3 linked regions of the Danio rerio genome follow. The protein of the gene in region 1 purifies or fractionates together with the protein of each later gene. This does not show direct contact. Links are inferred from orthologs where the notes say so. Each region holds a gene or a part of one and is shown in the gene's direction. Other genes may lie near its edges.

Region 1 (4,388 bases):
TCTTTCTTCACTAGAATTAAATTCTGTGAACCATTTTAGCTTGTACCTTAACAGACAGGGAAGTCAATCTGATTATCTGATTGGCTTAGCTTGATTGTAATGCCTTCTTTTGCACAAGACTGATGGCCTAAATTACATCAGCAACTTATTTGAGGGAGGTTGTTATTTTCTCCTTTTATTTAGAAGACATATGTATTCTTTTTTAATGTCTGTTCACCAAACCAGCTTGCAGTATAAACAGTTATAAGCTGTTGTTAGAAATCAAAATGATTTTTTTCTTGTTATTCCTATTATTGTGAACCAGAAAAAGACGCTTTACTGTGACCTGATTCTTCAGAATCCAATTTAATATGATTTCATGCTGTCAATAAAGTTGAAATCCTAAATTTAGCTTTATGTTTTAAGGAGCTGTGACACATTTATATATAACAAATATAGTGTGTTTTGGTATGTCTATCCCTTGCAGAAGTAGTTTTTTTGTTATCCATAAGTGGTTGATTTCTTTTTCTACAGGCTACAGTGGCTGCGTTTGCAGCTAGTGAGGGCCATTCTCACCCACGTGTGGTGGAGCTCCCAAAAACAGAGGAGGGACTGGGGTTCAACATAATGGGTGGGAAGGAACAAAACTCTCCCATCTACATCTCCCGCATCATTCCTGGAGGCATCGCTGATCGACACGGTGGCCTGAAGAGAGGAGACCAGCTGCTATCTGTGAATGGAGTGGTATGTACACAACAGATCAAAATGCTTGACATTAACTTTTTATCTGAATTCACAGGTGCAGAATACACTTATTTATTTAATTACAGATTAATAAATTCTGTACTGCACTTCCTCATTTTGCTTTTTTTGTTTGAGAAAAAAATTGAGAAAATTTAAAACAAATTGAGAATTAAAAATAATTATTGTAAAAAGGGAATTTACATAAACCGGATTGGTGTGATATAAGTTAGACTAAATTATGTGAAATTTTTTTTTTTTCAAGAAAATACTTTACACCTTATTATGTTACACATAGCTGTCTAAATACCATTTTTATACGCTCCTAAGGAATTTAACATAAACAACATTTACACACAATGAAAATGGATTTGGTTCTCTTCACTTCTTAACAAACCCTTTAAATATAACAGTATTCAGAACAGAAAAGAGCAAATGCCTATAAAATAAAGAAGTTGTGGTGGCATTCACTATGTAAAATGTTTGACTGGTTGACCTTTTTATTCATCAAAACAAAATGCTCATTTAAATAAATGGTGTCAGAAATGTAATTTAAACAAAGTTATTGGTCAACCTTTATTTTCGATGATGGTCCTATTGAGTGTTAGTAGATTGTCTGCTTCATATGTTGATATTGCTCCTTCAACAGACATTTAACTTACTATGTGAAACTTTGCAAGTACATGTCACCTTACACTAACCCTACCCCCAACCTAACAGTTTGCTTCTAATCTAATGAGAATCAGTTGGCATGCATAGATATATACATTAGATGTCACCTACCCTGTTGTTGTCTATTAGAAGGAATGGGTCAATTGAGCCGCCATTTTAGTACAGGGTAGCGCTCCTTTTAAATAAATGTGGGACCAAGCTGCTATGGAGGACTGTGGCCATCCAGAGCCAGAGAATTACACACATACACAAATATCTATGGTCGGGAGTTTTCCCGGAGGTCAGTATGCAATTTTCTTTTTTAAATTATGAAAATTATAATTTTACATCACTTTTCTATATTGATGGATCAGTGATCGCACAGGCATTTCTGACAAAAAGCTTGTGTTTGTTTGTATGGAAATGTACTATCCATACTCCCTGTTAAATTTGATCAAATCCGTGTCCTGAAACACACCTCCTCACCTGCTTTCACTTTTCATACTGACGGAGGGGGAGATTCATTTGTGAATGAACGACTCCTTCACTTAACGGACAATAATACAAGTTTCCAGCATCTCGTTTTCATATATCTTTTGCATTGTTTGCTGATTTTATTCAACAAAAGTTGCATAAGCCGAGTGTTAGGTGTGAGTTGCTGCTGCTTTGCCTTTTGGTGAATGCAGTAAGAGACAGTATTATTATCAATAACGCTACCCGTTTAGCACAAAAGTTCATAATATACCAAAACGTAAAAAAACCTGAATCTTACCTATGAAATGTTCTGCCTTTGTGCTTTGTTTTCTTTGTTTTGTTACTACACCCGTAGACAGCGCTAAAGTCCCGCATCTTCACGTAGTAACACTGTCTTGACTAGTGCGGTTGAATGACACTTGTCCTGGGAGCACTACAAATATGGCGGCGCTATTGACGCATGCTCGGGGTCCCTATGCGATAACTAGTGTATATATCTATGGTTGGCTTGTAGTTGCTATGTAATTTAAATTCAACCAACAGACCATCAAAATAAAGTTTGACCAAGGGATAAAGTGAATAAATAAAGTGAAAGCTATACAAATCGAAATGTGGACACTTTGCACCCACTCAGATTGACGTAAACTGCATTATGTAAACTGCTTTAAAATACAAGTCACAGCACGTTTCAGATTATTAAAAAAAACTGAACTCATTTATAAGTTATGTCACACCAATATAGGCATTTAAAAAATAAAAATGTTGATCCAATAGAAAAAGAACTCCTTGTCTTTCAGAGTGTAGAAGGAGAGCACCACGAGAAAGCTGTGGAGCTGTTGAAGGCTGCTCAGGGCACAGTGAAACTGGTGGTACGGTACACCCCTAAAGTCCTGGAAGAGATGGAGTCGCGCTTTGAGAAGTTGAGGTCTGCCAAACGCCGGCAACAGAACAACTTCCCCAAGTAGGGGTCTCATCTGTGCCCCCCCCCCCCAAACTCTCTCTTTCTGTCTTTTTCTATTTGTCTGTATATCTTCTGCCATCTGTCTTCTTTGTCCACGCTCTCTCACCCCCTTTCTCCAGCCAGGGATTAGCCACATGTTTGGCTCTCCTTTTTGTGAAATTTTCTAAATCCTCACCTCCTCAACGGTTTTTTAACAGTGTTTTCACACGCCTCTTTCTCATAGCATGAACACTACGAAACGGGCTCTGGATGTTTTCACGTAGACATCACATACGTGCACTGTAATGGTGCGTTACTAAGAATGTACTGTCATTTGGGATGTTGATTTGTTAGATATGCAAGGGGACCATTGCAATGTTCAACTCCTGAGGTGATCTGAATGAAAATGTCTAAAAAAGTGCCTCAAGAGCTTTTAAAAAAAAATAATTGCAGCTGCAGCCTTCAGTGTGTCCCATCGTAGGCTGTGTTTTATGGTCCATGCACAAAACGAGTAAACACTAGCTCAACCGAAATGTAATTGAGTGCAAACGTTTAACAGAAATTCGAAAGAATGGTGTATAATTAAGAAAAGGGGTTATGATATACTCATTTCCAGTCAACTTTTCTCACTCTTTCACTAAGATAGAAGGAAAAGTTAACTAGAAATACATAACGTACGTGTTTGGAGAGATAGATAAATGGCAAATCGGTGATATGAGCATCTTTTCAGAACTGCTGTTTGCTTCAAACACAAGGAAATGCTGAAACAAACAGTGTAGCTGTTAAAAACTGACACTGTTTCTTTTTTTTTTTTTTTTTTTACATTTAATGAATTTACAGATGAAAAACACTGTGATCTACAGTAATTGGTGTATCAGCTCTGTGGAGTAAACAAATCAGCTTTTGTCAACAAGAATAGAGAAGAATGAGGCAGTCGGCTGTGTGTTTAGATTCATTTGGAGGCATAAAGCATGTTACATACGGTCACGATTACGCCATTTCAACAGTCTGCTTTTGATTGAAAATACGTGAATGGAATGTTTATAAATCGTTGAACCGGAAAGCAGTTCTGAGGAGATGCTTGTGGCGCTGTTTGGGTGTTGGATAAACAGAAAAATGAATGAAAATGTAACATTTTTGTAGCTTATACCCCTTAAAACACAGAAACGGAATGAAGCAGTCACTAGCTCTTCGTCAAGCACGCGTCTAGTTTTTAATTTGTAGAAGTAAAGCGTTTTTATTTTAAACACTTCAGCAGACACACTAAGTTAAGATTGTAGGGGAGGTTAGTTTCATTAGTTCTGAATGATAATGTGGCACTTGCCTTTCAGCTCTGGGTCCATATGATTCACCCAGTTTTTGCTGATTATTGTATAAACCTGCATCGTCATGGTTCAGAATCAATTTTCTTAAACGGTTATATTAGTGCATCACGAGGTAGCAGCTCAGCGTATTGCTAGCAAAACAGCAATGAATGCATAAATGAATGTCACACATATTCATTCTATGAGACATGTCTAAATTAAGCTCGAGTGATTTTTATTTTTTTTTATAAATTGGTGCTGTCATTTTGTTTTAAACCTGATCAGTCATTTGTTTTCCC
Region 2 (5,102 bases), on another chromosome or scaffold:
TTGCATTTTGGCCATATCGCCCAGCTCTATTTGGAGTATGCCAATTTGATGGGTGAAGAACTATACACCTTTAAGACTTTAAGGCCCAGTTTCACAAGCAGGGCTTAGAGTAAGCCAGGACCATGGCTATTTAAGCCACATTTATTAAAATGGCCTTAGAAAAATATATTACTGGAGTGCGCCTGGAGACAAAAAAATGACACTGACAGATTTTAAGACATCTCTCTGAAAGTTATTTTGAGTTGAGACAGCTCAAACATGCAATTTAATCTCGACTAGCCTTAAACCTTGTTTGTGAAACTGACTCTATTCCCTTCTCAGATTCATGACTCTGTGACGTTCATTGAGAAATTGTTGCCACAAAAATAGTATTCTAAAGTAAGACCAACTATATTTATATGTCCGTGCAGTCGTGTCATGAGCGTTTTCGTGATGCTTCATACGAGCATTCGGATGATCCTTGAATGGACTTAGCCAGTGTTAGTCGTGTTGCACGCTGAGTGACGCATACATTACGAGAACGGCAGGATCTGAGTCACACTTTGGACAGTGAGGCACACTGACAACCCAAGTATTGTACGTAAAATAGGGGTAATTGACGTTAGTAGTACTACTGGCTCAGAGTCTTTGACTTTTGCACGTTATGTAGGTCAGCATGAGAGAAGTAACTAAAATGTCCAAAATGTTTAATATTAAATGGCCTTGAGGATTGCCTCACTGGCAGAATATAGCAGATGCATGTGCACGCTGTGCGAGAACAGGATCTTATTAGCGGTGAGGATTAGATTAGCGAGTATGGCAGCATTTTGCCACATCCCTCTTAGCTTGACTGCTGATTTAAAAATTTCCTAAAGCAAAGTCACGGCAGAGATCTTTGTCATTGCCGACCCTCCCCCAACATCACTGCCCCTTAAAAGCCAGTGACCCGAGCGGTTTGTCCTATGTGACCATTTCATGGTCGGCCTAATCAAATCAGAAGTAATGGAGAAATTAAGCTTAAGCATCTTTCTGCCAGCTCACTCTCTCCACCGTAGGGATCCCATCAAGAAATGGAGCCATTCTCAGAAGGTCACATCCACTGTCCAGTCAGCTGCCAATGACATTCCGTCATCTTATTGGCCAGGCTCGACGCTCCCCTCCCCCTTTTCTCTCCACTGTGCAAACGTGCTGTAAGTCACTCCAACATCGCTCCTCCTCCTGCATGCGAGGCTGTGCTCCCTGAGGATGTTCATTTGCTGCTCCTCTCCATCTCACTGTTACTGCCTTGGCTTTTTATTTTTTTGCCTTCCCCTCAATGTATTGGGTGACGTAGAGCACCCACGCCGAGGATGAGACAGAGAGAGAGACTCAACCCAACTCGACGTCCATGTGACAAACCCCACGCGCTGCAACAGCTTTATCCCTCCCTCCCTCCCCTCACAGCTCTCCTCCTCTTCCCGCGTTCTCCTCACAACTCGCTGCGTTGTTCAAACTGTGGCATTCTTCACCTTCCCTTTTGGGGGAACGCAGCAGTTGTGTGGTGTCTTCTTGGCGATGACCAAAAGGTCCCGAAAGCTGTTCCTTCACGGATGCATGCACTCGGCATGAGGCCTCCGTGCAAACATCTCCACCGTGACTCACAGCTGTGAAAGGTGGAGGGACGGATCTCGCAAGCCAGTGAAGCAGAAGACGAAAGGCTCTGAGGAAGACCGGAGCAGCGGTGAAGGAGAAGGGGGCGTGTGGACAAACTCGCTGGATGAAGGAAGCAGACTGGCTGTCCCTTCCCTGGCGTGATGGAGTGAGACGAGGAATGAGGGTGGATGGTGAGAGCGGGCAGCAGCAGCAGCAGTGGAGGGGCAGGAGGAGGAGGAGGTGGTGGTGGAGGAGCAGGAGGTGGCCGGAGAGGCAGGAGCAAGTATCGCTCGCGCCGGCGAGTCTCCGGCTCTTCGCTGGCTGATCGGCTCAGCTGCCACAGCGGCGAGAAAATGTCTCCCAGCATCAAGAAGTTGGACTGCTTCTCGCCCATGCTGTGCCACTGCAAAGTGGCCTGCACCAACAGCACCATCTCACTCATGTTCGGATGCAAGGTGGGTGGTGGAGCTGCTTCTCAGGTTCGCTTAATTCACAGGACAGGACAGTCTGTGAGAGTCTGTCCAGCTTTACATCAAGGTGTAGCCAAGAGTGGCAGCCAAAATGCTTGGTACTGCTGCCAGTTGGAACTCCCGAGGCACATGCAATCAACTTGATGAGATAAGAGTTCTCTTCGAGATCTAGCAGACTTCAGAAGTAGACTTATTCTTGCAGAGAGATCTGGCATAACACGTTCATGGACTGAATTTCTTTTAAGGCACACATAATTGAAAAGTTGATGAGATGAGAGGAGTTGTCTTCTAGATGTAAGAGAGTTGGCGTACAGCAGATTTATTGCCTTTTAGTCTCTTCTTAAACAATTTATGTTAGGTTAGGACAGCTAGGTTCTTTCTTTTAGGCTTTTAATTGTTTGTGTTTGTCTAAATGTATAGGATGATCAAGTGTTGAAATATAAGTAGGCCAGATTTGGCTCCCATGAACTAATAGCTCGTCTTTCTTTAGACAATTTAAGGGGTGTAGGGAACGGTGTGCTAATTAGGTTCTTTCATTTAGGTTTTTTTCTCGTTTGTGTTTGACTAAATGTATAGGACAGGGCTATTCAATTAGTTTGTCACGGGGGCCGGTTCATGAAAAGCATCCCAAATGAAGGGCCGGAGAGATATGACTTGCTTTATGAGTGATAACACAACTGCATATAAGAGCCCATATGCTGTTTATTTTCTCCTTAAGACACCCACGTTGGCTTTTTCTACATTAAAATATGAATATGTTGTATTTTGAAACTACATAATATCAGTGCACTGTACAATAGACTTTTCTTGTTTACAAACATGTTCAAATGTTGTATATCAGAGCACAGCAAAAGCAGTGCATTGCTCAAGTAGGCTTTTTCTACTTTAAGACACATTCATGTTTTATTTTTTTAAACTGCATCACAATTATGGTTGTACGATTATATAGTCTAAAGAATAATCATGGGTTCACGGTTATCACGTCTAATGTAAATTCAAGCTTTATATGAGGTAAGTAGCTATTTAGAATAACTGTTGTTGCAACACTATCTCACGGCAATTCGTAACTTTTTCATTTAGTGGCTAATTCGTATGAATTCATCCTTTCTAATTCGTACAATTTAGTACGATTTGCTTATCCCCCAATGACGGTTGGGGTTAGGGGTGGGGTTAGGTGCCACGCCTCCTTTTTAAGATCGTACCATTTCATACGACTGAACTCGTACGAATTCGTACGAATTAGCCACTAAACTGGGAAAACGTAAAATACTTACGTTTTCTCATGAGATCAGGCTCGTTGTTGCCTTCTGCGTTCATACATACAGCACAATCATTTTAATAATAACTCGTCTAACATATATGTTGTTAACATTGCACTGAAAGGCACGCACAACTCTCACCGTAAGATGTTTTCTACTGTGTGCACCCAGAAAGACGCAAGTGTGTTGCTGCGCTTGTGCGCACATATTGTCATATATTATTACATTAAAAATAACAAACTTGCAAGCTGAAAAGACTTGTTATGGGACTGGCCACTGCTATAGTTAATCCGGTGAGTGCGTATTAGCCTCGGTGTACATACATGGAACTTTAAACTAGTGCACAGTTGACAACTTGACATAACTTGGTTTAGTTGCAGCAGTTTCGTTTCGTTCCATGCAACAGAAATGCGGCGTTGACAAGCCTTTACGATTAATTAACTGTGACGAATTCAAGTGCAGTTAATAGTGAAATCGGCTAATCATTGCATCCTGCTTGCCCCACTTGCTTGGCGCACGTCACTTCATAACTATAGCGTCATTTTTCGAATTAACTACATTTATTTTTCATGTCTTATTTGCACTATTTGGAGGGCCAGAATAAATTGCCTCGGTGGCCAGGTTCGGCCCACGGGCTGCCAATTGAATAGCCCTGGTATAGGATGATCAAGTGTAGAAGTATAAGTAGGATCAGGGCATGACCCAGGCCAGACTTGGTTCCCATAAACTAATAGCTTGTCTTTCTTTAGACAATTTAAGGGGTATAGGGGAAGGTGTGTTAATCAAGTTCTTTCTTTTAGGCTTTTTCTTGTTTGTGTTTGACTAAATGGATAGGGTGGTCAAGTGTAGAAAGGTAAGTAGGATCAGGGCATGGCCCAGGCCAGAATTGGTTCCCATGAACCAACAGCTTGTCTTTCTCTAGACAATTTAAGGGCTATTGGGGAACATATCGTCAGATAGATAAGGTTCTATCTGCATTCTGAATGATTTTGAGATATTGAGCATCAAAGTTTTTGCATTCCATAGCAAACAGTATGTGTGTAACATTTTTTTTGTAAATAAAAAGTCTTAAAATGTAAACAACTTATAAAAAAACATCCCATAATGTAAATAAGTCATTGTCATTTAATAAGAATATGTTAATAACACAATTTTGACAAAAATGTCAGATGGAACTATATAATTCTAAGGTGACGATATGCTAATTAAGTTCTTTCTTTTGGGCGTTTACTTACTGTGTGTGTCTGTGTGTGTCTGTGTGTGTCTGTGTGTGTCTGTGTGTGTCTGTGTGTGTCTGTGTGTGTCTGTGTGTGTCTGTGTGTGTCTCTGTGTGTGTCTGTGTCTATGTCTGTGTGTGTGTGTGTGTGTGTGTGTGTGTGCGTGTGCGTGTGCGTGTGCGTGCGTCTAGATGTTTAGGTTGATCAAGTGTAGAAAGGTAAGTAGGATCAGGGCATGACCCAGGTCAGAACCAACATGAACCAACCATGAACCAACAGCTCTCAAATGTACCCAATGCACTACCATAACTCATAATAATATGAGCTCATAAAAGCTAATTACGGTCACACTTTACCATCATGTATTTACAAACATGAACTCATGATAACAATACATGTACAGCATTTTTGAAAGTTTTTTATAATTTATTTTTTAAGTTACTATAATTTTACATTTTTTAAGTTACTATAGTTAATCATTTGTCGCATTCATTGACTTTAACATTAACACAGATAAATAAATACTGTAATGTTCATTGTTTGTT
Region 3 (4,853 bases), on another chromosome or scaffold:
TCACAATACCCCAGAGTTTTCGAGCCTGGAAAACAGCTTTTTGAAAATGCAGAAAAGGCCGTTTTCATCCTAAAACGTTGCTGCTCCGTATCAGTGTGGATGGGGGAAAACAGAGAAACTGAAAATGGAGGCATGTCTGTTGACATTCGCTACCTGATTGGGGCTTTTCTCAATATTAAGTGCACAAAGTTCATTCTTGCATCCTTTCCTTGTAAATTAAGACTTCGCAAATTTGAAAACAAACTCCTGAGGACTTGTCGGGTAAATCTTCAAAGAGAACAGTGTAGCTCTACTTTTTAACGTCATTCACATCACCCTGGCTATGTTGTTTCAATATCTTAACAATAAAGTGAAAATATGATATAAGGAACTGCCTATTTTTATTTTGGTATTAGCTAATTAACAGACACCAAAAATGTTGAGGCATCGTGTAGCTGGATATTTACAGTATATGATAATCGTCTTCACTGTATGCATAATTATAACATAATGAAGCCTATATTACTGCCTCCTTTCATTTTCAGTGAAAAATATGAAACACACCCTGTCTCTTTTGCTGAATATCAGTTTTGATAATCAATAATGGCCCCTATTAAAGTATAATACAATAAGTTTATACATTATAAAAAATAAAGGCAAGCAATCAGTCAAATGTGCAGAATCAGTTAACCTTCTTACATAAATTAATATATTAACTTATCTTTGCGCTCAGCCAAAACAAGTTACTATAGAACAAGAAATAGATTCAAAAGAAAGTCGGCGAATAGACAACAAGATTAATTAAATATCACGTTTAAAAAATATAGTGAAAGGAGTTCCAGCAGAAGATCCTTGATGAACTGTTCGATGTGCGCTGCTCTCACCTTGGGTTTTGTGCTCAAAGCACCCCCTGACTGCCTGGAGCTGGCATGTGCGCATATGCTGCAGCACATGCCAGAGTGTGTGTGTGGTCACGTGATGTGTGTTTTTAGTGGTATAGTGTGGATGGAGATCTGTTCAGAAACGCTAGGTGAAACACCAGTGTGGACATGGATCGTGTTTATTTTAAAACGCAGTTTTAAAGCTGAAACGTATTAGTGTAAACGGGGTTTTAGTCGCTGACATTATCTTTGGCAGATATGGTGCTAAAACCAGAATGACAGACAGCTGTTTCTTACTTAGAGCTGTCTATGCTAATGAGGGAGAGAACATCTCGTGTGTGTGTGTGTGTGTGTGTGTGTGTGTGTGTGGTTTTTATGAAATGGGATTATAAAAAAAAAAACTGTTTATTTTTAACATTAGAGGCTGGCTATATAATTCACACATCGTTGCCATACAACTGTCATTTAACACCTTATAAAATAATTTTTGCACAATAGGTCCACTTAAACATATTTTAAAGATTGTTAAAAACTAAAAGACACTTCCATGTCTCCATATTCGCCGTACATCTTACTAAATATCATGAGAAAATACACTTTGTCCAATTAGTTTGACTGTTATTACAATTGTGTATTTACAATACTTACAAGTACCTAATCAGAACAAGCACCCAAAATTCCAATCCTTTAATTCTGCTCGATCGAAACTGACCGGCTTGTCGTTCAGTCGACACTGTGAAGAAAAAACCCTTCTGATTGGACTACGGAGTTTAAGCGTGGAGGATCTTTCCAATCAGAAGCGTCGTCTCATAGGGTTGCCGGAGGCGCTGTTGAGCCACTCTCAGTCAGTCAGTCAGTCAGTCCCGAGCCTGAAACAGTCGAGCCGTAGCGACCCGTCACATAACATGACAACAATATAACGTGCCATTCTGTGAACAAAACCGCCTGTTTGGAAGTATTTATACGCTTAGTGGACATAAAGGACGGCATATGTGACTACAGAGGTAAGCTAAGCCACTCTTTCAAGTTGTTTTGGCCCTTAAAACGCGGCGTCAGTGTTGTTTGCAACAGGTTGCCTGGGAAAGAAAGCAAGGCTGCACTTCGGGAAGTGGCCAGCTAGCTGTGTTAGCTATGCAAATACTCAGCAAAACATTAAAGCACGCACTCATTTGTCTTAAATGAAGCTCTATAAACATTCAAGGGACTGTTTATAAGATGTATAAGTACTGCGTTTCGCTGTTGGTTTAGTTTACTAGGAATATCAAGCTCAAATAGCTCACGTTACAGTCTCAAAGCCTAATGAGTCGCCTACCTAGGGAGCATTTTTAGGCATCATTAGTGCGTCCAGTGTCCGAAAAGTGGCAGCTCACCAGGTCTTGAGACTATAAACCTGTGGTTTTGTATTAAGTAACTGAAAATGAAACAAAGGGTTTAAAATGGCAAAGTTGTGGATTCATTCACCTCCCTATACACAACCTGTTGAAACTGCGTGGAAGTTTCTTTAATCGATAGGTTACACGGACTGCCATGGTTTATCTACCTTCAATACAGCCATTAGGACACAAGTGTCGCATTGTTCCCTTCGCATTGGTTCAGAAATCTGATAGGGCTTCCTTTTTTATATTGTCTGTGGAATGATTACTGGAATACTGTGGATCAAACCTGACATGGAAAGGGCGTTATCGTTTTATTTTATGACTGGGAACTGCAGGTGTGTGTGTGTGTGCGTGTGTGTGTGTGTGTGTGTGTGTGTGTGTGTGTGTCAGACACCTTTATGATATAATTCTACAGTTCTGAGTTAATCATTCTGTGTTATTCATTGATTTAAAATGTAGTTATTTATTAAATTGGTCACTCAGACAGATCTGTTTACTAGACACGTTAAAGTGTTTATGTGCTTATAAAACTTGTGTTAAGTGTTCAGGTTTATTTTATCAACCTCTCTTTATACTGAAAGGCGTCTGACAGTTTGATGTGCTAGTAAAACTTGGGAATTTTGGGGAGTTTTTCTGTGTTGTAGAACTTTTCTCGTGTTGTAAATCAACTTACAGATATATTTCTGTAAAATATATACAATTACAGATATATTTCTGTGCATGCAAAACCCATCGAATTATAGTATACTTTTGTGAAGTTTTTGTTATTTGTAGTTATGCACTGGATGCTTGGTTTTTATTTTATTTTTAGTATAAATTGAAATCGCCCCAATGGTGTTTTAAATGACCTGAAAAGTATATGAATGACCAATATTAGTCTGAAAATAGGTCCAGCAGCAGCTACAGAGGAAAATATTTTTGGGGGGGAAACCTGGAAAAACAAAACTAATAAAATAAAGATTATCATTAAATGAAATGTTAATATTGAATGTTATTATAAAATATAAATTATTCTTAAATGACAAGAATTAAGTATTTTATTAAGATTAGCACAATAATATAAACAAACAGAATTAAAATAATATATATTTTTACAATTCAGTATTTAGGTTAGTACTTAACCTTAAAAAAACACATCTGGGAAAAATGACCCCTAAGTTTGAGTAAAAAAAAATGATTTAAACAAAAATTTAAGATGATGAATAATCTGTTATTTGTGATTTTAAAATTAGAATAGAATGAATAATAATAACAAATATTAAAATGAAGAGTAAATTAATAATATAAGCAATAAGGTTGAAGTAAACTCAATAGTAGCTTAATATTTTTTTCACATAGAACTTTGATTTGTAATATAGATCATTTCTCTGTATGAGGTCTTTTTTGACTATGGAAAAACTATAATGGCCTATTATGTTTTTTAGGTTGAGTTTTTCATAACAGGAATATTTTTAAAAACAATATAGCGTTGAAGTCAGAATAGGCCCCTAATTATTAGCCCCCTTTGAATTTTTTCTTTTTTTTCTTTTTAAATATTTCTAGAGCAAGGACATTTATCTGTTAATCTTTATCTGTCTGTTAATATGTTTTCTTCTAAAGAAAGCCTTAATTGTTTTAATTCGGCTAGAATAAAAGCAGTTTCTTAATTTTTTAAAAACCCTTTTAAGGTCAAATTTATTAGCCCCTTTAAGCTACATATATATATTTTTTTGATAGTCTACAGAACAAACCATCATTATACAATAACTTGCCTAATTATCCTATCCTGCCTAGTTACCCTAATTAACCTAGTTAAGCTTTTAAATGTCAATAGAAGTGTCTTGAACAATATCTAGTCAAATATTATTTACTGTCATCATGACAAATATAAAATAAATCAGTTATTAGAAATGAGTTATTAAAACTATTGTTAAAAATGTGTTTAAAAATCTCTGTTAACCAGAAATTGGGGGAAAATAATACACAGAGGGTCTAATGGTTCAGATTTCAACTTTATATGTTGTTGTTTTCTTATTTATAATAAATGAAATCAATAAAAGAGTTTGTAATGTTAAAGTCTATCAAGGTGTGATACTTGACCCTTAGACTTTATAAGTGAGTTTTTGGTGCTTCTCTGTCAAACAAAATCTTTGTAGATGTTGCTTTTTATATATAACCAAGTCTCAAAAGAACATTCCTACCAAGGCAGCATTGGTTGTGATTCATGTCTTCAATCCATTATTAAGAACACAATTGATAATCTTATCATTTCCTCAGATCACAAGCTGCATGTCAGCTGGCTGCTCTGTGTTTTTTAAAGATAAGTCTTCCCTCTGCACACTGTGATATAAATCAGCTCAGAGCTGGCTGTAAGTAACCTGTATCAGCACCACCACACAGATAACCTTTTCTATACTCTTGATGCATGTACTAAGCCAAACATCTTTTTTTAATAAAATGATTCAGCACTGTTGATGATGATAATAATAGGTTATTTATGTCAGTTTCGTTTGTGTGGCGCAGGTGTGGAGTTACTGCACAAATAAATGATGCTATAACAGATGATAGAGGATTTTGGCTCTGGATCAGATGGGTTTCTTTCAAGGAGACAGTATCTGTTTTCAGAGTAGAGTGAGAG

What was found. Proteins that work in one complex are often made in the same cells at the same time.
Region 2: the proteins of lin7c (region 1) and dlg1b purify together in Homo sapiens (affinity purification with mass spectrometry; 4 studies listed by BioGRID and IntAct, counting the BioPlex papers as one, with this or other methods). This does not show direct contact. The link is inferred for Danio rerio from reciprocal best matches to the Homo sapiens genes LIN7C and DLG1.
Region 3: the proteins of lin7c (region 1) and pals1a purify together in Homo sapiens (affinity purification with mass spectrometry; 3 studies listed by BioGRID and IntAct, counting the BioPlex papers as one, with this or other methods). This does not show direct contact. The link is inferred for Danio rerio from reciprocal best matches to the Homo sapiens genes LIN7C and PALS1.

What each region holds. Positions count from the first base shown.
Region 1 is NC_133182.1:31,951,571-31,955,958, reverse strand, and holds part of lin7c (protein lin-7 homolog C), read left to right. Parts: intron 1-513; coding exon 514-723; intron 724-2,642; coding exon 2,643-2,810; 3' UTR 2,811-4,388. UniProt on the Homo sapiens protein: Plays a role in establishing and maintaining the asymmetric distribution of channels and receptors at the plasma membrane of polarized cells.
Region 2 is NC_133177.1:5,302,746-5,307,847, reverse strand, and holds the start of dlg1b (discs large homolog 1-like protein), read left to right. Parts: upstream 1-1,964; coding exon 1,965-2,066; intron 2,067-5,102. UniProt on the Homo sapiens protein: Essential multidomain scaffolding protein required for normal development. Recruits channels, receptors and signaling molecules to discrete plasma membrane domains in polarized cells.
Region 3 is NC_133192.1:35,893,909-35,898,761, forward strand, and holds the start of pals1a (protein PALS1), read left to right. Parts: upstream 1-1,715; 5' UTR 1,716-1,864; intron 1,865-4,853. UniProt on the Homo sapiens protein: Plays a role in tight junction biogenesis and in the establishment of cell polarity in epithelial cells.